7 linked regions of the Macaca fascicularis genome follow. The protein of the gene in region 6 interacts with the protein of the main gene of each other region in a pairwise test. Links are inferred from orthologs where the notes say so. Each region holds a gene or a part of one and is shown on either strand. Other genes may lie near its edges. The genes, in order: TSSK3, LONRF1, PLOD3, CLIC3, COPE, EFHC2 and CACNB4.

Region 1 (4,073 bases), on a different chromosome or scaffold from region 6:
AAACTTAAGGCGTAAAATATATATCACCATTTTAGAAGCGGATTTTTGGGTTTGCTTTCTCCCCCTACTTTATTGGGGAGCACTTGCCATTGCTTTTATCAAGTGCTTGCTAGCCATGGATGCCAACTAACTTCTTCAATTGAAGGCCGGAGGATCATGTCGGGTTCCAGGAGCCTCTTGAGCAGGTCCTGGCAATCGGCCGAGATGCTCAGATGAGTGGGGAAGGACACCCCCTTCTGCTGCTGCCACAGCATCTTGGGGATGTCTGTGTCGTCAAAAGGTAGGCTGGCACAGAGCATGACATACAGGACCACACCCATGCTCCAGACATCACCTTTCTTGCTATCATGGGGAATGCCCTGCAGCACCTCAGGGGCGGCATAGGCTGTGCTGCCGCAGAAGGTCTGGCTCAGCTCCCGGCGCGACTTGGGCAACACCTTGGCAAAGCCAAAGTCAGTCAGCTTCAGGTTGAAGCCCTGCAACAAGGCGTTCTCACATTTGAGGTCCCGGTGGGCCACACCACAGCCATGGCAGTAGCGGATGGCCTCAACCATCTGACGGAAGAGGGCCTTGGCCCGGCTCTCAGGCAATGGCCCCCCATTCAGCACGCAGTCAAAGACATCCCCTCCCTCAGCCAGCTCCATCACCAGGCAGATTTTCCCGTCGGCAGACTCCAGCATCTCATACACCTGGATGATGTTCTTGTGTTCCAGGGTACGGACAATTTGGAGCTCCCGAGGCAGGAATCTCTGGATAAACTCTGAGGAAGTAAGGGGAGGAGAGATGGGCTGGCAGATCAGAAAGGCCCACCTCCTCACACCTGTCTCCTGCCTTCCAACTTCTGCCCACTTTGTCTGGGTCTTATTTCTTGGCTCCCTTAATGGTCTTAAATGTGTCTAGCTGCTTGGACATTGCAAAGAATGTTTACTTCTATTATTTTTGTCATTAGTGTATCATTCAAAAAAGAACCACTCCCACCAGCCTCGTGGACTGTTGAGCAGTCTGTGAGACTGGATATCAAGGTGCTTTAGGTGCTTTTAGACAAAGCCACAGAATCACAAATTAGCAGGCCTGATTTGTCCACAGGCTGGTGAGCCAGCTCCTCCCGCCGCTGTCCCCTGACCCCATAGTTCTTTCCATGAGCCCTGTCTTCCTTTTTCCCATCTCCACAGGCCTTGGCACCAGCCCCTGTTCTCTACTAGCCCTGGCTGTGGCCTCTGCCAGTCTCTGTACCTCTGCCGGAAAGGAAAGCCTGGCTCAGCTTTTGCCTCTGAGGATCCTTTACCTCATGCCACTTTAATCTTGCATTTTGGGGGGTGTAATGTTCCTGGACTCCCAGAATCCCTCTGTTACCCACTGACCCACTCCAGAGCTGCCATCCGGCTTGCTTGGTTCCAGGCCAGTGGGCGCAGGGAGTGATCGAATGATCTTTTCAACAGGAGGAAGCACCCACCGCCTTCAGCCAGCCCTCCTTCCCTCCAAAGGGGCCCCAGCTCACCTTCTGGCCCTCCCATCTTGTCTATAACTTTAATTGCCACTTTTCTTTGGTGTTTTTTGGAAAATGCTTCTTTGACTTTTGAGTAGGTCCCTTCCCCAATGGTCTTGCCCAGCTGGTACCCATTGGAGAGCAGAAAGTCCTCCATCCTGTCTAGCGCCTCCTTCCTATCACCCTCTCAGCTCATGCTGCCTCTGCGAGGCAGCTCTACTCCACCATCGCCTTTGGCCTGCTCCTTTTCTCCCCAAGGACTTCATCCGCAGCCGCCCCCAGCGTTAGAACATTGTCTGGACACAGCCGCGGGTGGTGGGGAGGGAGAGGGCCAGACATTTTTAAGCTCCGGCGCAATTGTGATGTAAATGCTGTGTGACCCTTGGCCAAAATGGGCAGTGCCCCTACCTGCCCTCACTACCACCACCAAACCCAGCCCGGATTAAGTCACCGCCGAGCCCGCCCCCGCGCCAGGCACTGAGTCGTAGCCCCGTCTGGGAGGGCGCTCCTCGGCGTCTGTGTGGGCCGGGAAGGCTCGGCTCCTTGGCGTGGACGCCGCCTCGCGGCGGGTTGCCCTGGCCTGCTGCGCCCCCATCGGGTGGCTGGGGTCTGCGCTACCCCGTCTCCAGGCGCCATGGCCAGATCCCTCCAGTCCCCGGTTCCGGCCCGCGCTGAGTGCCAGGGGCGGCCGGGGGCGCCGTTGGGGGTTCTCCAGTGGGAGGAACGGGTTCTGTGAGGTCAGCGCGCCGCGGCCCGGGTCACAATGATGCCCTCCTCGACGCCCGGGTCCGGGCCCGCCGCAGAGACCTGCCCGGCTCCGCCTGGACCGGAGCGTTCTCCCGCGGCCAGGGCTCGGGCAGCTGCTTCCAGCCTGGGACCGGTCTCAGCCTCCGGGAGGTGAGCGACGGCCCAGGGGGCGGGCGCGAGGCGGCGGCGCCCGGCTGCCCGGGAGAGGCCTGACCGCCACTCCCCGCGCAGAGCGCCCCGGGGCCTGGACATGAGCGCCCAGGAGCCCCCGCAGGGTCGGAGATTCCCCATTGAGGCCGGAGACTCCCGTGGCCTTGCCGCCTCCCCCGAGTCCCAGGACAGCCCGGAGGCGGTAGCGACGGAGCACAACCCGGTCAGGTGAGGCCCGCGCCAACCCCCTCCGCCCGTCCCGCGGCCCCGCCCTCGGTCCCACTTGGCGCCCCCAGCAGTCAGGTCCCCGCATCCACATCCGGACCCCCGGGGACCCAGGTGCACTCCCTGGATGTGCCCTACAGGATGGGCCGGGCCCCCGCCTCAGCGCCCCCTGTCGCGCCCCGCTTTCCCCAGGCCGCTTCGTCGCTGCCCCGGATGCCACTGCCTGACGCTGCTGCACGTGCCCATCGACGTCTACCTGGCCATGGGCGGGAGCCCCCGGGCCCGCGCCACGTGAGTGCGCCTGCTCCCTGCGGCTCCGCGGGAGCTGGGCGGGAACGAGGCCCCCCCGCGGGCCACCACGCTGAGGTCGCATGCGCCGAGCACGAGACAATGATGCACATTTTAAAATAAATGATGCACATTTTAATAAAGCACAGCATAAACTGTTCTTTCCACTCCGGGCTGGCAGTGTATGTCTATCCGTCGGGCCCACCAGCTGCTCTGTCCAGTCCAATAACACTTGCCCTTCCGCGGCCTCCTCGCTTGGACACAGCCCCAGGGGCCCGCCCTTCCACCTTTCAACCTATGCCACTTCGCTCCTCCCATTTTTTGCTGGGCAGCCTTTCCCCTGGGGCCCTGCCCTTGTCCGAGATCTCTCTAACCCTCTCCTAGTTCTCTGGTGAAATTCACATCACTGTGCTGGACCCCGGTGACCCACAGAAGTGGGGGACAGGAGGGAGAGGTGGGCCGACAAGTAACATAGAATACAGCCAGTGGCCACCCACACCAGGCCCATTATTTATTTATTTATTTATTTATTTATTTATTTATTTATTATTATATATTTTTTTTTGAGACGAAGTCTCGCTGTTTCCCAGGCTGGAGTGCAATGGCGCGATCTCTGCTCACTGCAACCTCCGCCTCCCAGGTTCAAACAATTCTCCTGCCTCAGCCTCCCGAGTAGCTGAGACTACAGACGCCCCACCAGGCCCATTTTAATCCTCTCCAGCGAGAAGATGGTTCTGGGACTTGCTCTTTGCGGTCCTAGGCGCCTAGGGCCTTCCTTGTTGGAAGGGTTTGGAGCTGCCCTAGTCCATCCTGAGACTTGGTTTCTCCTAGGACACAAGGGATCATAAAAAGATTGGGGGAGAGGCCATTTGAAAAACCTTGGCTTGCCGGTCATGCTGGCTGACGCCTGTAATCCCAGCACTTTGGGAGGCCAAGGCAGGTGGATCACGAGGTCAGGAGTTTGAGACCAGCCTGGCCAACATGGTGACACCCCATCTCTACTAAAGATATAAAAATTAGCTGGGTGTGGTGGTACACACCTGTAATCCTAGCCACTCGGGAGGCTGAGGCAGGAGAATCACTTGAACCCAGAAGGCAGAGGTTGCAGTGAGCTAAGATCATGCCTCTGCACTCCAGCCTGGGCAACAGAGCAAGACTCTATCAAAAAAAAGAAAAA
Region 2 (3,500 bases), on a different chromosome or scaffold from region 6:
AAGGCATTATAAAAACAGATCTTATCCCGTCACTTGTTCATTGATCTGTTTAGGCCCTTCATTTCAGTTAACATTTATTGGATATTGGCATTAGGTATTTTCACAAACATTAACTCATAGAATTTTCACAACTCTATGAAATAGTAGATGAGGAAAGTATAATTCAGAGGTGTTAATTTGCCTAAGATCCTATAATGTAACAAAAATGATTAAAGCAAACTCTCTGACTCAGGCTCTGAGCTTTAGCATTATGCCATTTGGCTCTCTGCTGATAAACCTGATTAGTCTGACGTTGGCTGTCCTATCTTATTATAAAAATGCATTGGGGTACTTTGCCCTGTGCAGTTGGCCAAAAGTATTGTGTAAGTTGAAATTTTGAGTTGATTGGTATAATCTGTGCCAACCTTAAGCATACTTAATTAATGGAATCACTTGCTAAAGGTTCTCCTTTGTAAAGTTAATAACCCTATTTCAGTTTCATGTAAAGTTATGTCTTCACATATTGGATTTGATGACAAAATCACTTGAGTATATGGCTAAATTACATGACTATATGTATTAATACTTATAAACATGTAGGCAATGGAATCACATTCTAAAAGTATCACAGATTTGATATTTATAAACTTGTATAAATTTTTTTTATAAATTTTTTTATAATTATAAATTATTTATAAACTTGAGTCCTCTTTGTGGTCCTCGGAATGTCCAGTAATTTTTCCTCATCATAATGTCTTCATCTATATAGTGATTTTCTTGTCCATTCTGGAAAACCTTCTCAGATTTGTTTTTTATAGCAAATTTTCCTCTTCTTATAATAATTCTGTTTTCTGTGACTTCTAATGAAATTTTAAAATCTATTAAAATTATCACAGTAAAGTACTTTGACTTTAAAAGCTTGCTTTTAAAAGGGAGCTGGCCAAAAAGCAGGCAGAGACTTGCAGAGACGCTTTTAAAGTCTCTGCCTGCTTTTTGGCCAGCTCCGTTTGTCATCACAGACTCTTATAATTGTTATCATTCCTTGTTTACTAGAGCCTGTCATTTGTTTTCTTGAATTTTGTGAGGGTGCAGAGTAGATGCTTAAAAAAAAAAAAAAAAAAAAAAAAGATTGAACAAGTCGTAAGTTTTGTTTCTTGCTCCTGTCAGTGTATGTTAGCAACGGCCCAAATCTTGTGTAGTCATTTCAGGGCCACAATTCTTTAATTGTGTGGCTCCTCTACCTTTTTTAAAAGTTTATTTTTATTGTGGTAAAATATACATAAAATATACAATTTTAACCATCTTTAAGTGCACACTTCAGTGGCATTAAGTATAGTCACATTGTTATGCAAAAAGCAGATGCTCTTTAAACTTTAGTTTTAGTTTTCATTTCAAATCTTTCCGAAGTAAAAAGTATGCCTTTTAGTCTCTGGTGTGCTGTAGTCTTATTTTTATGTTTCAAAATGTTTTCGGAGTCCCTTTGTTGTTTTTATATGAGTCATCCTTGAAGTATGAAAGGCTGAGTCAGGCCTGGTATTTTTTCAGATGAGTTTGTGCATATGAGACAGAGCAGGACCTGGCACGTAGCAAGTGGGATGTAAGTGTGCATTAAAGAAATCAATATAAGATGGATGAGTTAAACTTAGATATTCCCACCTGTGTTCTCTGAGACTACCCTTCTATCTCAGGCTGGAAGCCTGATGCAATTAATTTTACATTTGCAGTTTGGTGACCCAGTAGTCTAAAGAATACACTGAGGGGTTCCAGAGGTAGCCATAGCCTTGGGCCTTTCCAGCAGAAGTTCATCATTGTGTAACTGACTCTCTGACATACTGGCTTTATATGCTAACTTATTTGTTATAGCTTTTTGTTTGTGTTTGTGTTTTGACCCAGTTCCCTAGCAAAAGATGTAACTGTGCGACTACTTTCTGTCATGTCATCTACACCCTAACCACTCATCTTTTCTTTTTTGTAGCAACTATCATCCACTTTTTTGTGCCACTGCTTTCAAAAGCCATTGATCCATAAAGACAAAAGGAATTCCAAATTAGTGTAGACCTTTGAACCAAAACGCACTCTCCATCTTACTCCTCCCACTTGGGGGCTCTTGGTAGGGTTCTGCAATGTTGCACTGCTAAGTCAGCAAGGTTAGGCATAGGTCAGGCCTTGCTGTCTGTCTTTAGTCTGGTCAGCCCCATATGAGACAGAAATATGTAGTATAGCATAGGAATAATACTCTCTGGGAGGTCAGCACTGAAACAGATATTGCCCTGTTCTTCTGATGCCTTTTTCCATTTGTGTCGGTTGGCATATGGATGGGGGATTAGACACAGAAGTCTTACTGACTATTGTATTTCTAGGTTGAGGATGAAGATGAGATTAAGAATCTCAGAGAGCTTCATGATTTGGTTTACTCTCAAGCCTGCAGCTGGTTTCAGAATTTAAGAGACAGATTTCGAAGCCAAATTCTTCAGCACTTTGGATCAATGCCCGAGAGGGAGGAAAACCTTCAGGTATGGTGGCTTTTCTCTTCTAACAAAAGTCACTTTTTTGTAAACCTAAATTTGCAAACTTCTACATTTGTTTTTTCACTGTCCTTTCTGCACTACATTTTCTTTGACTACCCCCTCCCCCGCACCGGCCCCACCTGGTTTAGAATCATGAGTGTTCTAGAGCAGTGGTATCCACTACATTCTGTACAGGTAGAGGCTGGAAATAGGTGTCAGCTGAGATGCCTGTAGCAGGGAGTGCCAGAGAGGGAGCAAGGCCTTAGGATTTTTAGGAGGGGTAGGAAATTAAAAATCGGATGTTACTATCTAGAAACTGTGACTGTGAGACAACTAACTATGCCTTCAAGCCCATTGCCTGTTGTTATTCTTTGACAGCAGCGAGACTTCCCATTTTCTATACATTTAAAGCATCTTTTCTCACCTTTCTTTGTATCTCCCAACATTTGACCCTGCCACTTCATTTTTGTCTCTTCGTGTTTAATACCTCACTCCTCATGAAACTTCCTCTTTTAATCTCGCTGGTACTTAGGGTTTACACTTAAGCTTAGTCTAATGAATGTGTATCTGGCACTTTCTGTGCAAGCAAAACTGCAGGAGGCATAGAAGAAGGGTCTGGTTCCTGGAAAATCTGATCATAGACTCACTAAAGCACTTCGTTTTAGGCATAAGCATTTTGAATTGAATTAAACGTTTTTGATCAGAAGGTGATAGACTTTACAAAGGAATGGCTGTCAGTAAATATGTGAAGATGGAGAGATAATAGATCTCATTGTAATGCACATTGCCTCATTCCCGTTTTCAAGGGTTGGTCTCTGTCTCTCTGAATCCCAAGTGAATCCTTCACCTCAACTTGAAACACCAACATTAGGCCATCTCCAAATTTAGTATTCATTCTGTTTAGCATATTATCAGTTGCCATCTATTTGTTTTAACTGATTACTTGAATCTGATTAAACATTATAGAAATAGGCTTTGATAAGAACAACATTGAATAAGAAATTTTAAATAACA
Region 3 (4,128 bases), on a different chromosome or scaffold from region 6:
GGGAGTTCGAGACCAGCCTGGCCAACATGGTAAAACCCTGTCTCTACTAAAAATACAAAATTAGCTAGGCGTGGTGGCGCATGCCAGCTACTCGGGAGGCTGAGGCAGGAGAATCACTTGAACCCGGGAGGCGGAGATTGCGGTGAGCTGAGATTGGACTATTGCACTCCCGCCCAGGCAACAAAGCGAAACTCCATCTAAAAAAAAAAAAAAAAAGCCCCTGGCCTGGTGCCCAGGTGCAGCATGTGTGCAACAGATGCCAGACACATTTTTTCCTCCCTTGCTTCTAGTACCATCAGCACAGTGCAACTCACACAACCAGCCACTCAGACGCCCAATAAAACCACATAGAGGTGGACTCAGATCAGCCCAGCTCCTCCAGAAGCCTCTCCCAGCTCAAGACCCCAAGCTGCAGAGGCTGCGCACTGCCCACCTGCGGCTGTCTTCCTCCTCACCTAAAGCCCCGTTGAGGTTCTGAAAGATCCGAGACTTATGATCCAGATTAAGGCTGAGTTTCTCCTAAACGGAATGAGATGCGATAGAGTAGTTAAAATGGAAGGAGTGGGAAGGACATCATTTCTCTCTTCTCTCTCTCTCTCTCTTTTTCTCTCACTTTTGTTGCTTAGGCTGGAGGGCAATGGCATGCTCTCAGCTCACTGCAATCTCTGCCTTCCGGTTCAAGCGATTCTCCTGCTTCAGCCTCCCAAGTAACTGGGACTACAGGAGAGTACCACCATGCCTGGCTAATTTTTGTATTTTTAGTAGTGACAGGGTTTCACCATGTTGGCCAGGCTGGTCTCAAACTCCCGACCTCAAGTGATCCACCAGCCTCGGCCTCCCAAAGTGCTGGGATTACAGGCGTGAGCCACCGTGCTTTTTCTTTTTTGTGAGAGACAGAGTCTCATTCTGTCACAGAGGCTGGAGTGCAGTGGTGCAAAACATCCTCAAACTCCTAGGCTCAAGTGATCATCCCACCTCAGCCTCCCAAGTAGCTGGGATTACAGGTGTACACCATGAAGTCTGGCTAATTTTTTTTTTTTTTTGTAGAGATGAGGTCTCAACTATGTTGTCCCGGCTGGTCTTGAATTCCTGGGCTCAAGCAATCCTCCTGCCTAAGCCTCCCAAAGTGCTGGGATTACAGGCATGAGCCACCACGCCCAGGCACACATTTTTCTCTTTACAGCTCCCTTTGCCCCTCCACTCCCATTCAGCCTGAGGCCTCCACTCCCACAGAGGTGTGGGATGCACCCACTCCTCTGTCTTCCCTACCCTCAGTCCTGGGTCCAGGTAGAGCCGTGTGTAGAACAGCTGGTCATCGTCATCATCCTTGTACTTCCACTGGCGCACGATCTGGTGGATGGTGGTGGCAAAGCCGATGAATCCTGGTGAGGAGGGGAAGTGTTGACCCCGAGACTCCCAGGGTCCCAGGGCCTGTCCCCCAGGCCCTCTCCAGCCCTCAGGCACCTTTAACACTCTGTCCCACCGCTCTTGGCCCCTCTGCCTTGGGCACCTTGCCACTCACCACCAGAGTTGAGGAAGCGCTTCCCCGTGCCCACCTCAGGGTACTGCTCCGCCAGCCCCCACTCGGGCCAGCAGAAGCTCTCCGCAGAGAAGAGCAGGCGGCTGCCACTCTGGACGAACTTCTTCAGCAGCTCTGAGGGGCTGCCGGCCAGAACCACATCGTAGCTGGGTGAGGAAGGGGAGGATGAGCAGGGGTCCACTGGGAACCTCAGCATCCTTACCTTGCTCCCTATCCCAAGCCCTGTTACCTGTCCACAAACATGATGATCGTATCCTCCCTGTCAGCGTATTTCTCCATTTCCTTCTTGAGCCACCGGACCTTCTGTCCTCCACCGACTGTTCGGGCCACATCACCCCCTCGCCACTCCTCTCCCAGGCCCAGGGTCTGCGGAGAAGATGCCTCATGCCAGGCAAGGGGTGGGGAGTTGTCGGGGGGGAGGGGGGGAGCTCCTGACCAGGCTCACCGTGGGGACCTGGGCATCCAGACTTCAGCCTACCCCTCCTGCTGGGACCCCCTCCCAGAGGCTTTTCCCTCTCCTCACCCGCACGGTGTAGTTGAAGAACTCCGCAGAGCGCAGGAAACGCAGGTACCCCTCGGTTTCAGCTGTGGCCACAGTCATCACCAGCAGCTTCTCTGTTACCAGAGGGAATTGGCACTTGGGATCCACCGCCCAGCTCCGGGCCCCACGTGCTTTGCTGTCCTCCCTCTCACTCGACTTCTCTCCCTTTCTTCCTTCCCATTCTTAAACTCTTCTCACCCAGGAACACTCTGACCCCAGGGAGGACAGGGTGGGAGTGGCGCCCAGGAATTCCGAGTCCGTTTGCACAGGGAGGCTGGAAACCTCAGTTCAGGGTGGTAATGGGCAAGGGGCTTGGCGCGACTCAGCCCCAAGAGCACGCTGGGCGGCGGACGGGACAGACACCTCCTCGAGCCCCCGACCCTCTCCGGGCCAGGATGGCAGGCACGTCAGCCTCTGCCCCCTTGGCCGCGCCGGGCCTCCCCGGGATCTCACCTGGGTTTACCGGGTCTCGGCCCCGGGGCCGGTCGGAGGCTGAGGCCGCAGGGGGCAGCAGCAGCAGCAGCAGCAGCAGGAGCCGGAGTCCTGGCCCCGAGGAGGTCATGGTGGGGAGCGGGCCCAGACAGCACCCAGGATCCTGGGACCTCAGCTACGCGCCTGGATCCCAGCTCCGGAGGGGAGCTCCGGGAAGGGGGCGCTCGGGCTGCTGTGCAGCCGCCGCGGGGAGCAGCTGGGCTGGGGCCACGCCCTGGAAAAAAGGCGTATCCGGAGGCTGCAGAAAGCTCCAGATGCCGGCGCCGCAGACAAGGCGAGGATTGTCCCGGGCGCACGGGAGGCGGGGGAGGGGCGGCAGCTCGGGCCGGCGGGCGGGAGACAGCGACTCTGGGCCGAGCCCTCCGCTTTACACATGTGGAAGCTGAAACCTGGACAGGGGAAGTGACCCCTGGCGGTGGGTCCGGAGGGACGCGGGGGCGGGTCCTGGCAGCAGCCCTGCCGGGAGAGTGCGGGCGGAAGACGGGGAGAGCTAGGGGGTGGCGGCGACAGGGAGGGAGGAAGCCCAGGAGTCCGCCGCGGGACGGAGGCCTGGGGGAACTGGGAGCTGAGCTTTCTGCAGAGGGCCACTAGGAACCTCGGATTGCCCACGGAAGCCAGTCCGCTGGGATCAAAGCCACTTTCTTTGACAGTTCGGCCCACTTCCTTTTCTGCCCGGGGAGAAGCTCCAGGGTCTGCCTTTGTGATCAGAGCATCTTCACAAGGACCAAAGGAAAATAAGGTTTCTCGTAAGAACACCGTGAGCACATCTTTAAAATGACCCATTTCGTGGCTCCTACAAGATTTACACCTCCACACTGAGGCCGGAAGTAGTTTTGCCCCTATAAAACATGGCAAAAAGCTTTCTTGTCTCCAAGGAAACGCCACGTAATGAGTCAAAGCGGTGGCGCACGCGCGGAAGTACAAGCCACCGGAAGTGATGGCGCCCCTACCAACGCCGTGGGTTTAGTACGCGTGCGCAGCAGTCTCTTCCGACAGTTGTGTTGTGCAAATGGTGGAGAAGAAAACTTCGGGTATGTGAGCCCCCGCGGTTCGCCCCCTTCCCCTTCCCAAGTCCAAACCAGTCCTAGAATTTTCTTACCTATTCATTCCTCTTTTTTTTTTTTCTTTTGAGACGTGGTCTCGCTCTTTCACCTAGGCTGGAGTGCAGTGGCGTAGTCATAACTCACTGCAGACTCGAACTACTGGGATCAAACCATCCTCCCATCTCAGCCTCCCGAGTGGCTGGAGCTGAAGGCATGAGGCACCACGCCTGGCTAATTTTTAATTTGTTATGTGATGACGGGCTCTCGCTGTGTTGCCCAGGTTGGTCTCCAACTGTTGGCCTCAAAGCGATCCTGCCGCGTGGGCCTTCCAAAGTGCTGGGATTACAGGCGTGAGCTGCCGCGCCCGGCCCCAGCTATTCCTCTTAAATCCCTTCCTTAGCCCTCGGGTCCTGGCGTTGACCATTCACGTTTTATTGATGCCTGCCCCAAACCGGGCGCTGGGGATGAAGAGGAGAAAGATCCCTGTTATCCAAGCATTGGCTTTTTTCTGG
Region 4 (3,811 bases), on a different chromosome or scaffold from region 6:
GGCCGGAGGGAGGTGAGCACTCTCAGACCATCCAGCTATTCCATCCCTGCCAGCCCAGGAGCTGAGAGGGGCCCAGCCAGGCAGGGCCAGGGCTCCCCAAGGCTTAGAACTTTGTTCCCACCCTCCCAGGCCGCACCCAGGCAGGGCACGGAGCCCCGTAGGAGGATGCACACAGGAGAAGGCCTGTGCAGACCCTGAGATGCTGTGGAAGTGCCCTGCGGGGAGGGGAGTGCCTGCCCCCGGACAGGATTGAGGAATGTACCAGCCCCTATCCACCTGGGGCACCCCGCCCCACCCCGGCCTGACTGGTTTGGGAGCCCAATCCGGTCCTGGAGATCCCTGAGGCCACCGGTTGCAGGAGACCTGGAGTCTGCGCTTTCTTAACATGGAGGATGGGACCCGCCCGACCCCGGCTCTCCTGCCCCTGTGGTTCTGGGCTCTCAGGCTGAGCGTCCCACCCTGGGGTTTGGGGATGGGAAGTGATCACGAGACTCCTCAGATGTCAGGACACCCTCACTGCCGACAAAGATGCCTTTATTGGGCGACAGACGCGGGGTGGGGCGCTAGCGGGGGTGCACGGCGGGCCGGTAGGCCGCCAGGATCTCGGCGCTGTGCGGACACGTGTATTTGAACTCCTTCTCCTGCAGCGCGCTGTCCAGGTAGCGGCGGACGCCACGCAGCCCCGCCGGGATGGGCGCCTGGCGGAAGTGCGCGCACACCGTCTGCGGGCAGGATCGCGGGGCGCAGTCAGGACCTGCCGTCCCCCAGCGCGCCGGGCTTGCCCGCCCGCCCGCCCGCCCTCCGCGCTCACGTCGACGATGTGCAGCTTGGGCAGTAGGCTACAGTCGGCCAGCGTGAGCCGGTCGCCGTCCAGGAAGCGGCGGCGGGACTCGCGCAGCTGCGGCTCCAGCGCCAGCTCGTGCTCCAGGGGCGCGCGCAGGTAGCTGTCCAGCCTGGCGAGGGCGCGCAGCAGCTGCTGGTACAGGGCTAGGGGCGGGCGGCGAGGTGAGGACCTGGCCCAGGACGCCCTCCCGCCTGGGCATCCAATCCCCTGACCCCGCTTCACCTTCGTCCTGCGCGGGCACCGGGTTCTTGATGAACGCGGAGAACTTGTGGAAAACGTCGTTGCCAGCGGTGTTGGACTCCCTGTAACGAGGCGCCAGGCTGGGGAAGCTGCGGGATGAGGGGGTGAGAGACTCCATCAGAATGGGGGCAGCCCCGTCCCGGCCCTACAGTACCCCACAGCGCCTTCCTGGGCTCTGTCCTGTGCGCGTCCTCCCTGGGCGCCCCCTCTTCCCCTCCCACCCTGCTCAGGCTCTCACTCGGGCGGCCCCAGCGTCTCCTCCAGAAAGTCCTCGATCTGCAGCGTGTCTGTCTTGGCATCGCTGTCATAAAGCAGGATGGGCAGCTGCGAGCCGGGGGCGAAGTCCTTCAGCACGTCCGGGGACCTGTGGGCAGCAGCAGGGTGGGAGGAGGCCGGCCCACCAGTGTGTGAGGCCAGGCAGGGGTCCCCAGGATGGCACCTCACCTGCGCGTGTCCACCGTGGTAAGGGTGAAGGGTACACCCTTGAGGAGCAGGACCATGAAGAGCCGCTGGCAGGAGGGGCAGTGACCCACACTCTCCCCATCCTCACTCGCCTGGGTGGGTGGAGTGGCGGGCGGTGGCGGGGGGGAGGTCAGGGCTGGGAGCAGACCCAGGCATCCTGCCACCAGGCTGGGCGGGACCCGCCTCCCACTGCCAGTGGGACTGGAGGGATGCCAGAGCTCCAGCTTGGTCGGCGCGACTTCCAAGTGCCCAGTAAGGGCCCTTGACTTGGTCCCCAGGACATGGGGAGGGACGCAGAGCTGCTGGGAGCCTTGAAGCCTGGAGCGGGCTTGGCCGCTGGAATCTTATCAGAGCCTGGACAGGCCAGGCCCCTGGGCTCAGTCCCCAAAAGCTGGTTGCAAGGGTGGGGTAGGCCCCACAAGCTGTTTTCTGAGTGATTCACACATGAGACTGGGCGCTGTGGCCAGCAGCACACCAGCCCCCACATGCCAGTCCCCGACCTGAGAGCTGATGGGGCTGCCTGGCCCAGCACCCCCAATCCTGGAACACTGACCTCAAGCTCCATCACTGGCAGCTGGGTTGGTACCTCCCCACCAAGGGGCTCTCCTCCGGAAGACTGGGCTGGGCCCAGGAGCCAAGGCTGGGAGCAGGACCAGGGCCACTGGACCCCTCTCTGGGTGACTTTCTGGGTCCCACTTTACTCAGCCTCTGTAGGGCTGCCCGAGTCTCCTTAGCCACCCACAGGAAGGGGCTCAGACATTACTGGGGAGGCCCACCCCACAACCTGCCCCAGAAAGCAAAGCCAGAAGAGCACCCCCTCCCAGCCACCCTCCCTGCAGCTCAGTCTGCCCTGCACCTTGACAAACAGCTGGAGCTTGGTCTCCGCCATGGTGGGAGCTGCGCGGTCAGGCCCGGGTGGGGACCTGGGTCGCTCTTTAAGTCTCCCTGTGCGCCCCGCCCTCCCTGGCCAAGGGGCCCGCCCCGTGGAGCCACCTAGGCGGGCAGATGAAGCTGCCCAGCGCGCAGAGCTGGCTGCCTGAGCAACACCAGCCTGGCCCTGGGGTATCTGAGCCTGAGGGTGTGACCTCAGGGTGGGGGAATGGTGTGGGGGGCTGCCTTGGACTTGAGTCTGGTGCACACAGAGATCCACCCACCCAGTGCGGAGTGTGCTGGCAGCCAGCGTGGTGGGTGGAGACCGGGGGCGGGGCACAGGGAGAACCTACAGGCCAGAAGGGTGCAGGGAGTGTCACCTGGGGAGGGGGTAGCTCTGGGTCGGGACCACGTCCACCGTGAACCTAGCTCAGAACCTGCCCTATGGCTCTGCCTTCGGCAAATACCCCTTGTCAGGGCTCCCAGCCCAGAAAACCAGTGGGTGTGGGTGAGCAGGAGAAATGGTGCCCAGCCTAGCTTCAGTTCCCCATCTGCAGCACCGGAGCATTGCAAGGGTGGTAGGCCCACCTGGGGGAGCCGCCCCTTCCCAGCTACCGAGCAGTCAGGCAGGGCCCTCCCCGCTCAGGGCGGGGCTCAAATTCCAGACCTGCCCGCAACAGGGCGGGGAGGCCAGCCTGGCTTTGGTGTTTGGCCGGCAGTGCAGGTCTCCACCCCACCTCCCATCCCTCCCACTGGCTCTCAGCACAGGTTTCTTACCCCCACCCCTTAACCTTTAAAAAGAAGCAGCAGGAGCGGGGTAGAAGCCACAGCCTGCGTGGCTGGGAGAAAGCAGCCAGGGGACGGTGCTGGTCCACAGGTGTGAGCCTGCTCTGAGCTTCCTGGTGTGATTGGAACCCACAGTTCAGTCTGGCCCTTTGGGGTCATCAACTGCGCCTCCATCCCACCTGGGCCCTGATGCTTTGGGGGGCAGCCCCAGGGAGGTACACCGAGGGGAGACTCCACCTAGAGACCCGGGGTGCCCACAAGATTGGCCTGGCCACACCTCCCCCAGGCGGTGTGGTGCCTCACGAGCCCGGACGGGGCAGCTGAGGTGGCACTGCTCGCCTGCTCACCTTCTCCCCAGGGCCTTGGTATAGGCCCCACGCCCGTCCCCGGCGGACCGAACTCCAGTGCTGCCCCAGCCAGCCCAGCCTGACACTTCTCTGGATACCATGCCAGTCTGGGCTCCTGGACACACGGAGCCTTGGAAATGCCACGTGGCTCCCCTATCCTTTGGTGTCCTGAGCCTCAGTTTCCCTCCATCCTGCCTCCACCTCGATTCCAAGACCTAATATTTTGGCTTTCTCGTACTGTGGTTATAGCTCCGTTCGCTGG
Region 5 (3,500 bases), on a different chromosome or scaffold from region 6:
GGCGGGCGCCTGTAGTCCCAGCTACTCGGGAGGCTGAGGCAGGAGAACGGCGTAAACCCGGGAGGCGGAGCTTGCAGTGAGCTGAGATCCGGCCACTGCACTCCAGCCTGGGTGACAGAGCAAGACTCCGTCTCAAAAAACAAACAAACAAACAAACAAACAAACAAATAAAACCCAAAATCCGTTTCACCAAAATGGAAAAAGCTTTGATGTCCTTTTTGATTATAAAAATAATAACCCAGGCCGGGCGCGGTGGCTCACGCCTGTAATCCCAGCACTTTGGGAGGCCGAGGTGGGCGGATCATGAGGTCAGGAGATTGAGACCATCCTGGTTAACACAGTGAAACCCCGTCTCTACTAAAAACACAAAAAATTAGCTGGGTGTGGTGGCGAGTGCCTGTAGTCCCAGCTACTCAGGAGGCTGAGGCAGGAGAATGGTATCAACCCAGGAGGCAGAGCTTGCAGTGAGCTGAGATTGTGCCACTGCACTCCAGCCGGGGGACAGAGCAAGACTCCATCTCAAAAAAAAAAAAAAAAAAAAAAAAAGAAATTAAAAAAAAGAAAAAAATCCGCTGGGCATGGTGGCTCACACCTGTAATTCTAGTGCTTTGGGAGGCCAGGAGTTCAAGAACAACCTGGGCAACACAGCAAGAACAACCCCGTCTCTACAAAAAATAGTATTTTTTTTTAAATTTAAAATAACATAAACTCTTCATAAAGACTGCAGATGGTCAGGCATGGTGGCTCACGCCTATAATTCCAGCACTTTGGGAGGTTGAGGCAGGTGAATCACCTGAGGTCAGGAGTTTGAAACGAGCCTGACCAACATGGCAAAACCCCATCTCTACTAAAAATACAAAAATGAGCTGGGCATGGTGGCAAGCGCCTATAATTCCAGCTACTCGGGAGGCTGAGACAAAAGAATCGCTTGAACCCAGGAGGCAGAGGTTGCAGTGAGCTGAGATCACACGACTGCACTCCAGCCTGGGTGACAAAGCGAGACGCCATCTCAAAAAAAGACAAGAAAAGACTGCAGACATCAGACAGGAGACGACTGCAGCCAGCCTGGGCTCCTGGCCACAGCACGCTGTCCCCTAAATAAGGACTGGGAGTGTCTCTCCAATACTGAATATGTACTCAGGTGAGGGGTCCCACATGCAGGGCCAGGCAGCTGAGGTGACAGACCACTGAGGCCCAGGCTGCCCAGATGCCCCATTTCTGTGAGGCCGGAATCTGGATTTCTTTGCAGGTGCGATCCCTGCTTTGTGGATCTCGCTGCTGACTGGGCCTCAGAAGCCCTGTGGGGCCACACGCACACGCAGGGCATCTCTGCTACACTTGTTTCTGTTTGCCCTGACCCCGCCCTCCGGCCGCCTGGCCTTCCCTCCGTTCCCACTTTGGGACAGCCTTGTGCCTACCTTGTCTAGCGCCTCCTGTAGCAGGCCCTCAGCGGCCTCCCAGCGGCCCTGGGCCATATGGCAGGCCGCCTGCCCATTGAGCAGCAGCAGGGTGGGCGAGCACTTGTCAGCCATCTCCTGGAAGATGTAGTAGGCATCCTGCAGCTTCTCACCGCCCTGCAGGGAGGGTCCCACATCATCATCTGTGCTGCGGCCGCCAGGCCCTTCCACCGTCAGCCCCCTCCCCAAGAGGGGGCTCTGCACTGCACAGACACAAATCTGGTATGCCCGGTTCAAGGCACAGCCACTCCACCATGGGGACCACTCATAACCTGTACTCTGCTGACGGGGCCTAAAGACTCGCGGCCGCCTCCTGCCTCACCTCCTACCCGGCTCCCAGTGCGCTGGGTACACAGAGGTGGAATTTAGGGCTTCCAGGGCACAGGGGCACAGGTGGCTGGGCCAGGGTCTGAGTGGGGACCACTGGGTCACCGGGCACATCGGAGGAGGATGAGTCAGCTCTGTGACCAGCAACTCTGACCTGCCCGCTTGCTCAGGACTGTGGGATACTTGCAGGGGGAGCCTGAGGTCAAGGCAGGCTGTGAAAACAGTTCAAACTACCCGAGAGGGCTGCCGAGGCCTGTCCCACCACACTGGACGGCCACTGGAAGTCCATCTGGGTGAGGCTCCAGCCCCGTGGTGGGCAGGGACGGGGAGCACATTTCTTCCCCCCAGAGTTTTGCTCTTGTCACCCAGGCCAGAGTGCAATGGCACAATCTCGGCTCACCGCAACCTCCACCTCCCAGGTTCAAGCGATTCTCCTGCCTCAGCCTCCCAAGTAGCTGGGTTTACAGGTGGGTGCCACCATGCCCGGCTAATTTTGTATTTTTAGTAGAGATGGGGTTTCTCCATGTTGGTCAGGCTGGTCTCGAACCCCTGACCTCACATGATCCACCCACCTCAGCCTCCCAAAGTGCTGGTATTACAGGCGTGAGCCACTGTGCCCAGCCAGGAAGTGTATTTTAACAGGCCTGCACAAAAGAATGGCTCAGAAGGGGGCCAAGTCCCAGAAACCAGGAGGGGGGTGTTGCCAGGCAGAGGTGCCCAGGCCTGGGAGCTGAGGACATCTCCACCGCTGCTATGGGAACACTGAACCCTGTCCCTGGCTGGGGACCAGGACCCTGGAGAGCAAAGCTGAGTCGCAGAAAACCCCAGGAAGCCCTGGGGGGAGGAGGGGCTGCCAGGCCAACCCAGACCCTCGAGTCCCCCTGCGCCTCAGGCTCAGGAACCCCGTCCCCGTCCCCACCATCGCTCTGCCTCTGGCCAAGCCGCTTGGCTGTGAGAAGCCCGGAATGGAGTGAAGGCTGAGAGTTGTGCCAGGCTGGCAGGGGGCCATGGCCTGATCCTGGAGCCCCACTGGAGTGGCCGGCAGCCTGGGCACAGGTGGGGGTGCCCACAGACCCTACTCAGCCAGGTGCCCACAATGCCCGCCTGCCTCGTGGCCCAGGACTCACCGTGGCCAGGCTGACCCAGGCGGTGGCGAGCTGGGTGAGGGTGGCATCCTCGTCCAGGTCCTGCATTCTCTTCAGTTCCTTCCTGGGGTGGGGACAGAGGACGGAGGGGCTGAGCGGCCGAGAGCCCTGGCCTGGCTATCCCTGCCTTGTTCCCACTTGGGGCCCGCCAGAGCCCGGGGATGGCCCCCACTACGTGCTCCCCTGCGTGCTCATACCCCACGACGAAGTGCCCGAGCTGCCCTGCCCGCCCCACCACGTGAAGGCCCCGGGAAGGCGGGACTGGAGCCAGCTACGGACCCCCGAGGTGGCTGGCACAAGGTAGGGCTCGGGAGAGACTCGCTCCACGGAAGATGGAACGCAGGGAAGGGCGACGGAGCTACAGCATGAACAACTCTGAGGCAAGGGCTTTGGAAACGGCAGCAGGGGAGTCCTGGACCACCAGCCATGGCCTCCGACCTGGTGACGCCACGTGCAGGCCCCGCCAGCCCCATGGCACAGTTACAAGCTGGCCCAGCGACATGTTCCTCCGGGCACGACCTCCACTCCCTCCATAAAGCCCACTCTCACCCTGTGGGACAGGCCCACCACT
Region 6 (3,500 bases):
GAAACTTGATTCAACGCTGGCCCTGCCTCCTGCCTGTGCCTGGAATCTGTGATGCTGGGCAGAGGAGAACCCAGCATGTAAACAGAGTAGACAAGAACCTGGCCTCTGTGATGGGACATGTGGCCAAGTCACACGAATCCATTATTCATGCCCACATGTATGAATGCACAATGTAAAACTGGTGGCAAGATGAAGAAGAAAAGGCCCTAGAGAAAGAAAAACACAGACTGCGGAGGGCTGAGAGGCAAGTGAAGAATTACACAAAGTAAATTCACCTTATCTGTATTCTGCTCCATGTAGTTTAAGGTATACTCATCAGCATTGAGCAAACGAAATAGGTAACCATTCACATTCACTGTGACTCCAATGTACAGGTCCTCAGCCTTGATATATTCAGATAGTTCACTTTTAAAGACTTCTTGTCCAGGCTTCTTAACGCGACTTCTTTTCAAGAACATCCCACCGGTAATTCCTATAGAAAAATAGAAAAGTTCATGAGCAGCCTTTATTCTTAAAAGAACCATCTGACTTGCCTTCAGAGTTACTTTATCTTCAAGCACAGACCACCATATAAGTTACCTGTGAACTAATATTGCCTATTGTTTTGGACTTAAGGGAAGAATGAGGCAGTGAGTGAAGGAGTAAGAATTCCTAGGCAAGGGTGTTCAAGACAAAAAGCAAAGCCGGGCATGGTGGCATGTGCCTGCAGTCCCAGCAACGCAAGACGCTGAGGCACGAGGATCGCTTGAGGCCAGGAGTACAAGACCAGCCTGAGCAGCATAGCAAGATTCCATCTCAAAAAAAAAAAAAAAAGAGAGAGAGAGAGAAAATGATGTGTAATTCTAGCCTTTTTTTCTCTCTCTCTACTCTCTTCCCAGTCCAATAAGCACTTGGCAGGGACCTCCTATATATGCCCAGCAGCATACTGGGAGTGTGGAACATCAGGAAGATACTCATCTTTAGAGCATGTTTGAACAGTACCAGTTAGAAAATTCCTCACTTGTGCATATTTCCACCTATTTGTCCCAGATGATGTCTTATATTTAATCTGACATGCAGATTAAGTAGCAAATGCCCTACTTCTGTAAAGGAGATTACTTAAGTGTTTAAAGGTAACTATGGGAGTCCCCTTAAGTCATTTTTTCCTACAGGTAAAATCCCTTTGCTTCTTTTAGTAACGCTTCATATTAGTTTCCAGAGCTGTCACCATTTCATCTGTTCTCTTCTAGACATTATTTGTTGTGACCTCTTGGAAAGTAGCCAGTAGAGTTGAACAGGGAACTCCAGCATCTTCTGATACTGAACTGAAATCTACAGACCTATAAATATAGCCTGAGACCAGATAAGCTTTTGGGCCACTTCATCCCCCTTCTCCTACCACATTCAGAAATGATAGGTGGTAAAAAGACACAGGCTTCCGAGTTCTGTCACTTACTTGCTGGGTGATCTTTAGGAGTTATTTAATCTCTCTGAATTCTTATTGGTACAATGGGAATCAGATGTGTGGAGGTCCAGAAAATGTACTTCTCAGGTCGCCTATAGCGAAGAACATAACTGATGGAAGGCCCCAGCTGTTGTGTTCTTAAATCAATCTTCAGGTGTGTGTTGAGGTCACTCTTCCCACGGGCTGCTACCAATAGATGAGTGACCAAGGCAGGGATAGTAAGACAGGCTCACTCCTACAAAACAAGGACTCCTCCAACTAGCAACTTTGCCTCAAGGACTCCCTGTCGACCTTGTCGAAATTTTCTTAGAATTTCACTGCAGTCTAAGACTCCCTCTTTCTTCCTTCCCTCTGAGCTTCACAGGTGTCAGAACTGCACTATAGTCTGACAGCTCTCCCAGCCTCTTCTGGCTCCTTCCACATTTTCCCTCACCAGCATTCCCCCTATTAAATCTCTTGCACATTTAATCCTGTCTTGGTAGTTGCTTCTCGGAGGAGCTGGACTAACACAAAATCTAACCTCATAAAGTCCTTGTAAGGATAATAGTAAGTTCTCCATCATGGCCACTGTGATTACTAGTAAGCTTGCTGCTGACTATCATCACTGCTTTCTGTTTCACACATGCTGCAACTTGTTTGGCCACATCTCCCCCATTCTAAGTGTACAGAGTTGATTTTTGACCTGTAAGAGCATGACTTATATTCATCCCTATGCAATTTCATATTTTAAGATTTGATCCATTATTCAAATCACTGTGGAGCCTTAGTTATACAAGTTATTCATTACTCATCGCTGTGCTAAGTAGCTCATATCAGCTCATAGGAGCTGAGAGTCGAATTTTCAGAGATTTTGCAAGCCAGTTTTTAAACTCTTGGCTGCTTGAAATTGGCCATGGTTGGGGTATTCACACCATGGAAACTGGCAAACAGTACAAATCAGGGCTTTTAAAATCTTTTCAAAGAGCCACTTAACCAGCACATCACTGATTATTCTTCCCAAATGCATGTCTTCAGCACAGATAAAAGTTCTAAACGTGTTGAGACAAAGAACAGGGTCCTACAGTGCCATGATTGGGTAAGTCAATGGCTCTCCTCAGCAGTGACGGTGGTACCAGCATATTGCAGAGAGGCATTCTATGGGTCTGAGTGCGGGAACCTTGGCAACAACCTCAACAGACAGAAGGACCAGATAAAGATGGACCCTGACGATTGAATTTGTGTATCTGGGATTCTTGTCTTACAGCCAAACAAAAATTTTGTAAGTAGGACTATCAAGAATGCAGACTTCCTCTTGGCTTGCTGGCTACAAGTAAAACTAGTGGTACCCAGACCATGAATTTGAAGCCCTTGGGTTCCACAGAGGTGCCTCAGAAGTCACAGTGGAAGTGGGGATAGTGGCAAAAAGGAAGTAACTCCAGGTCCCCTGGCCCTAAGCCAACCAAAACTGTTTCACTTCTATCATTTTAAATGTTTAGGTTCCCATTTAAGAGATTTGTAAAAAGAACTCTATTGTTCGGGTTTTTTTTTTTTTTTTTAAATAAAGCCTCTATTGTAGATAATCTAGGCTACAAAACCAGATCATGTTCCCTAATTTTCAACATGAAGAGACACTTAAAACATTCTCAAGAAAATACTGTGAGAAGGATATCTCTTACCTGAATTCCTCTCTATAGGTTCAAACACTGAAATGGTGTCATCACTGAGATAATATGAAATAACAAACATCCTGTCCAAGTCAACACATTTGTCTGTGACTAGTTTTGCAAAAAAACGGAGTATATTGCTTTTGAAGCCATAGCTAAATGGAACAGAAATGAGAGTTACAGCATTATACAGGTAATCTTCCACATATTATGTCTTTAAAAGTCTGCAAAAGGTATAATATGGCTTTAATAGAGTAGGCATAAACTGTCCAAAGTGAAAGAGTTCAACCGTCTTCTAATTAAGGTTCTAAATCTAAATGCAGAGGAATTTTCTCAGTATATTAAGATATCTCTCATTCTTCACATGTCCTGGGTAACACATTGGGAAAATGAACCCAAAACAAACGTCATAA
Region 7 (3,500 bases), on a different chromosome or scaffold from region 6:
GGAGTGGCCTGGTGAAAGTGTGAAGAGAAAGGTTCTAGTAAGAAAAAACAGCAAATGCAAAGACCCCAAGACAGGAAAACATGCTCCCCATGTGTCTAAAAAGAAGCATGGAAGACAAACAGTTTAGAAAAAAAGGGATGATATGGTTTGGATCTGTGTCCGCAGGAAATCTCATGTTGAGATGTAATCCCCAGTGTTGGAGTTGGGGCCTGGTGAGAGGTGATTGGACCATGGGGGCAGTCCCTCATGAATGGTTTGGCACCATCTCCTGGTGCTGTTCCTGTGACAGTGAGTGAGTTACAGTGAGATCTGATTGTTTAAAAGTGTGTGGCACCTCCCTGTCTCTTCCTCCTGCTCCAGTCATGTAAGACACCTGCTCCTGCTTTGCCTTCTGCTACCAGTAAAAGCTCCCTAAGACCTCCCCAGAAGCAGATGCTGCCATGCTTCCTGTACAGTCTACAGAACCATGACAATTAAAGCTCTTTTCTTCATATGTTATCCAGTTTTATAGAAGTGTGAGAACAGGCCGGGTGCAGTGGCTCACACCTGTAATCCCAACACTTTGGGAGGCTGAGGCAGGCAAATCACAAGGTCAAGAGTTCGAGACCAGCCTGACCAACATGGTGAAACCCCACCTCTACCAAAAATACAAAAATTAGCCAGGCATGGTGCGCACTGGTAACCCCAGCTACTCAGGAGGCTGAGTCAGGAGAATTGCTTGAACCTGGGAGGCAGAGGTTGAAGTGAGCCAAAATTGCGCCACTGCTCTCCAGCCTAGGTGACAGAGCAAGACTCCGTCTAAGAAAAAAAAAAAAAAAGAAGTATGAGAACAGACTAATACAAGGGACAAGAGGGATTAATATTAATAATAGTATTGGCAAGTTATATGCTAAAAAAGATCGATAATTAAAAGTGGGGTAACTATACTTTTGTGATCTCCTATTACTGTTGGAGCAGTTCTTATTATGACAAAAGTGGGCGCCCAAAGAACACAGGAGTTTTTTGAAATAGAAAAGCATTCAACAGAAAACAGAGGTTGAGGGTCAAGAGAAAGAGCTGCTTCTATTTTAGAGCTTTCAAAAAATTGTAACACATATGAAATCAAGGCTTCAGTGCAGGCTGCGACACGGTACATGCAGACTCAGGATGAATTGGTTTCTCTTCTCTCAAGCTGTGCTTGTGTTCCTGGGGCCTTTAAATACCTGCACTCTGAGATCTACATGGCTACTTGAGTGGTTCACTATAAAGGTTGTTTCACCTGAAGCTGTCTTCACCCAAATACCAGGGGAAAAGAGATGCCACAAAAAGCCTGGGGTGGAGAAGGTACTGTCAGTGCCGGGACCTGCACGTACCATCACATTATGTGCCCGCTTAAGGGAGAGTCTGTAAGTGAACCAAGAGGAGCCATAATGCTTGTTCAGGTCAGCTCCCACTCACTGTGTGGAGAAAGAATGCCCGAAGTGACTCTCCTAGAGGAAAGCCTGGGTTCCAAGGAGGGCTTGCTGAGGCCACAGAAAACAGTCTTTGCCATGGAATTCATATGGTCTCCAGTGGTGTTAGGCTTCAGCATGCACAGAAGGTAGAGAACTATCTGAAACTCTTCTGTGTCAATTTCAGAAACACCTTGCACACAGCAAAGTATCTTCTATTTTGACAGCATACACTCTTGAAAATATCACCCAATTTTCTGACCAAAAAAAAAGTGCATAGAAAAGATGGAAACGTACCCTCCGTGAAAACGTCCTCTTTTTTGTTCTTGCTGAATCCGTATGTTCTCCAATCTGAGTGGACTTGGAATGAAGCCAATTTCACAGCCCTCTTTCACCAGCCTTCCTATCCACCAATCATTGTTATATTTCTGGAATTCAGAAATAAAATTGCTATCAATAGTAATTCACTTATCTTCACGTTGTTTATGAATCTTAGGGGACAAGAAGAATAAAATGCTATTTATAAGATATGATATTATACTATATTTTACATAAACTATATTTTATATGTATATGTGTATACCATATTTTATATAAATTATATTTTATATGTATGTGTATACTATATTGTATACATCATACTATATACCATATTTATATAAACTATACTCTCATAGTATACTATACTTTATTTTATATAAACTATATTGTATATGTATATGTGCATATATGTCTATATATCTATACTGTTTTATATAAACTATATTGTATATGTATATATGCGTGTATATATACCTGTACTATATTTTATATAAACTATATTGTGTGTGTGTATATATGTGTGTGTGTGTATATATATCTCTCTATATATCTGAGGTAGATTCATAGACTAAAGCAGGGTTCTGCAAACTTTTTCTGTAAAGGTCCAAGTAGTAAATATTTTAGGCTTTGCCGACCATGTGGTCTCTGTTACAATTAGTTGAATCTGCTGTCCTTGTGTGAAAGCAGCCTCAGGCAAACATCAACAAGTGAGCATGGCTCTGTTTCAATAAAACTTTTCTTTACAAAAAAGGCAGTGGGTCAGACTGGACCTGTGGGCTATAGTTTGTGAACCCCTGGACTAATGTCTGGTCCTAACCTTTGGATTCTTTTGGTCTTTGTCAAGAAGCTCTAACCAATTCTTTATTTATTTATTTATTTATTTATTTATTTTTTATTATTATTATACTTTAATTTATTTTATTTTATTATTTTATTTTTTTATTATTAACCAATTCTTAAAGAACATATTTCACAAGGATAAATATGCACCAATGTAATTGGGACTCTGGAAGGCAAGACGGATATGTCTGATATGAAATACATTTAATAGTCCATAATTTGTCAAAAGCTCTCAGGTAAAAATTCCACAATACTATTTGTAGTGTAATCTCACCGGGGAAGAGTCATGATCTTTCAAATATAGATTTGCAAATTAATGTCCAACTTACTACTTGAAGAAAAAGATGCCTACTCTTACAAAGTCTGAGCATATTACATATTTGTATGTGAAATTTTGCAAGTAATTTCCAAACGCTCTGAAGCCCAAGGGGAACTCCAGAATTTCCATTTAAGTTAAGTTCCATGACATGTAAACTCAAGACCCAAGTCTATGCAAAGGCTTCAACCAGTGTGGGGTGAGAGTCTGTCAATGTGGGCTTATTTGGTGGATCAGTAAAATTGCATTTCTAACTATACATTTGCTGAATTATAGAGCAGAAAGCAATTTAGTTCAAGCTCCCTGCCTCAAGGAAAGGTTTCTGCTAGGTCACTTCTACAAAATAGGTATCAGCTCTATTGTTTAAACTCTCCGGAGATGATTCTAAAAACTTCCTTTACTGTTTTTATCAGTGTTGGGCAAGACAATTCTCTCCTACTTTGACCCAAAACATATATATTTATAAACACATATATTTTTTTCAAAATGTAACAATGATATGTAGTTTGTTTTGCTGAGCTCATAGAAAAGTGAAATATATATATGTGTGTGTGTGTATATATGATTCTGATACATTATGAAGGAGGAATGGA

Evidence for each region.
Region 1: the proteins of EFHC2 (region 6) and TSSK3 interact in binary tests that used the Homo sapiens proteins (3 or more experiments, as listed by UniProt). The two-hybrid records come from large-scale screens. The link is inferred for Macaca fascicularis from reciprocal best matches to the Homo sapiens genes EFHC2 and TSSK3.
Region 2: the proteins of EFHC2 (region 6) and LONRF1 interact in binary tests that used the Homo sapiens proteins (3 or more experiments, as listed by UniProt). The two-hybrid records come from large-scale screens. The link is inferred for Macaca fascicularis from reciprocal best matches to the Homo sapiens genes EFHC2 and LONRF1.
Region 3: the proteins of EFHC2 (region 6) and PLOD3 interact in binary tests that used the Homo sapiens proteins (3 or more experiments, as listed by UniProt). The link is inferred for Macaca fascicularis from reciprocal best matches to the Homo sapiens genes EFHC2 and PLOD3.
Region 4: the proteins of EFHC2 (region 6) and CLIC3 interact in binary tests that used the Homo sapiens proteins (3 or more experiments, as listed by UniProt). The two-hybrid records come from large-scale screens. The link is inferred for Macaca fascicularis from reciprocal best matches to the Homo sapiens genes EFHC2 and CLIC3.
Region 5: the proteins of EFHC2 (region 6) and COPE interact in binary tests that used the Homo sapiens proteins (3 or more experiments, as listed by UniProt). The two-hybrid records come from large-scale screens. The link is inferred for Macaca fascicularis from reciprocal best matches to the Homo sapiens genes EFHC2 and COPE.
Region 7: the proteins of EFHC2 (region 6) and CACNB4 interact in binary tests that used the Homo sapiens proteins (3 or more experiments, as listed by UniProt). The two-hybrid records come from large-scale screens. The link is inferred for Macaca fascicularis from reciprocal best matches to the Homo sapiens genes EFHC2 and CACNB4.

Annotation. Positions count from the first base shown.
Region 1 is NC_088375.1:202,656,164-202,660,236, forward strand, and holds TSSK3 (testis-specific serine/threonine-protein kinase 3), read right to left. Parts: upstream 2,801-4,073; 5' UTR 2,612-2,800; coding exon of another isoform or gene 2,465-2,611; 5' UTR 2,384-2,464; coding exon of another isoform or gene 2,250-2,383; 5' UTR 681-2,249; coding exon 99-680; 3' UTR 51-98; downstream 1-50. Other genes in the region: protein FAM229A, read left to right, coding at 2,250-2,383, 2,465-2,611, 2,801-2,903. UniProt on the Homo sapiens protein: Serine/threonine protein kinase required for spermatid development and male fertility.
Region 2 is NC_088382.1:12,657,745-12,661,244, reverse strand, and holds part of LONRF1 (LON peptidase N-terminal domain and RING finger protein 1), read left to right. Parts: intron 1-2,339; coding exon 2,340-2,492; intron 2,493-3,500.
Region 3 is NC_088377.1:49,857,740-49,861,867, forward strand, and holds the start of PLOD3 (multifunctional procollagen lysine hydroxylase and glycosyltransferase LH3), read right to left. Parts: upstream 2,801-4,128; 5' UTR 2,644-2,800; coding exon 2,535-2,643; intron 2,156-2,534; coding exon 2,064-2,155; intron 1,907-2,063; coding exon 1,770-1,906; intron 1,687-1,769; coding exon 1,523-1,686; intron 1,383-1,522; coding exon 1,270-1,382; intron 520-1,269; coding exon 456-519; intron 1-455. Other genes in the region: ZNHIT1 (zinc finger HIT domain-containing protein 1), read left to right, coding at 3,583-3,604. UniProt on the Homo sapiens protein: Multifunctional enzyme that catalyzes a series of essential post-translational modifications on Lys residues in procollagen. Plays a redundant role in catalyzing the formation of hydroxylysine residues in -Xaa-Lys-Gly- sequences in collagens.
Region 4 is NC_088389.1:2,334,291-2,338,101, reverse strand, and holds CLIC3 (chloride intracellular channel protein 3), read right to left. Parts: upstream 2,460-3,811; 5' UTR 2,436-2,459; coding exon 2,403-2,435; intron 1,639-2,402; coding exon 1,529-1,638; intron 1,449-1,528; coding exon 1,323-1,448; intron 1,174-1,322; coding exon 1,067-1,173; exon of another isoform or gene 988-1,066; coding exon 503-987; 3' UTR 501-502; downstream 1-500. UniProt on the Homo sapiens protein: In the soluble state, catalyzes glutaredoxin-like thiol disulfide exchange reactions with reduced glutathione as electron donor.
Region 5 is NC_088393.1:19,305,493-19,308,992, forward strand, and holds part of COPE (coatomer subunit epsilon), read right to left. Parts: intron 2,994-3,500; coding exon 2,912-2,993; intron 1,575-2,911; coding exon 1,419-1,574; intron 1-1,418. UniProt on the Homo sapiens protein: The coatomer is a cytosolic protein complex that binds to dilysine motifs and reversibly associates with Golgi non-clathrin-coated vesicles, which further mediate biosynthetic protein transport from the ER, via the Golgi up to the trans Golgi network.
Region 6 is NC_088395.1:44,294,055-44,297,554, forward strand, and holds part of EFHC2 (EF-hand domain-containing family member C2), read right to left. Parts: intron 3,243-3,500; coding exon 3,100-3,242; intron 473-3,099; coding exon 276-472; intron 1-275. UniProt on the Homo sapiens protein: Microtubule inner protein (MIP) part of the dynein-decorated doublet microtubules (DMTs) in cilia axoneme, which is required for motile cilia beating.
Region 7 is NC_088386.1:47,398,582-47,402,081, forward strand, and holds part of CACNB4 (voltage-dependent L-type calcium channel subunit beta-4), read right to left. Parts: intron 1,861-3,500; exon of another isoform or gene 1,859-1,860; coding exon 1,728-1,858; intron 1-1,727. UniProt on the Homo sapiens protein: The beta subunit of voltage-dependent calcium channels contributes to the function of the calcium channel by increasing peak calcium current, shifting the voltage dependencies of activation and inactivation, modulating G protein inhibition and controlling the alpha-1 subunit membrane targeting.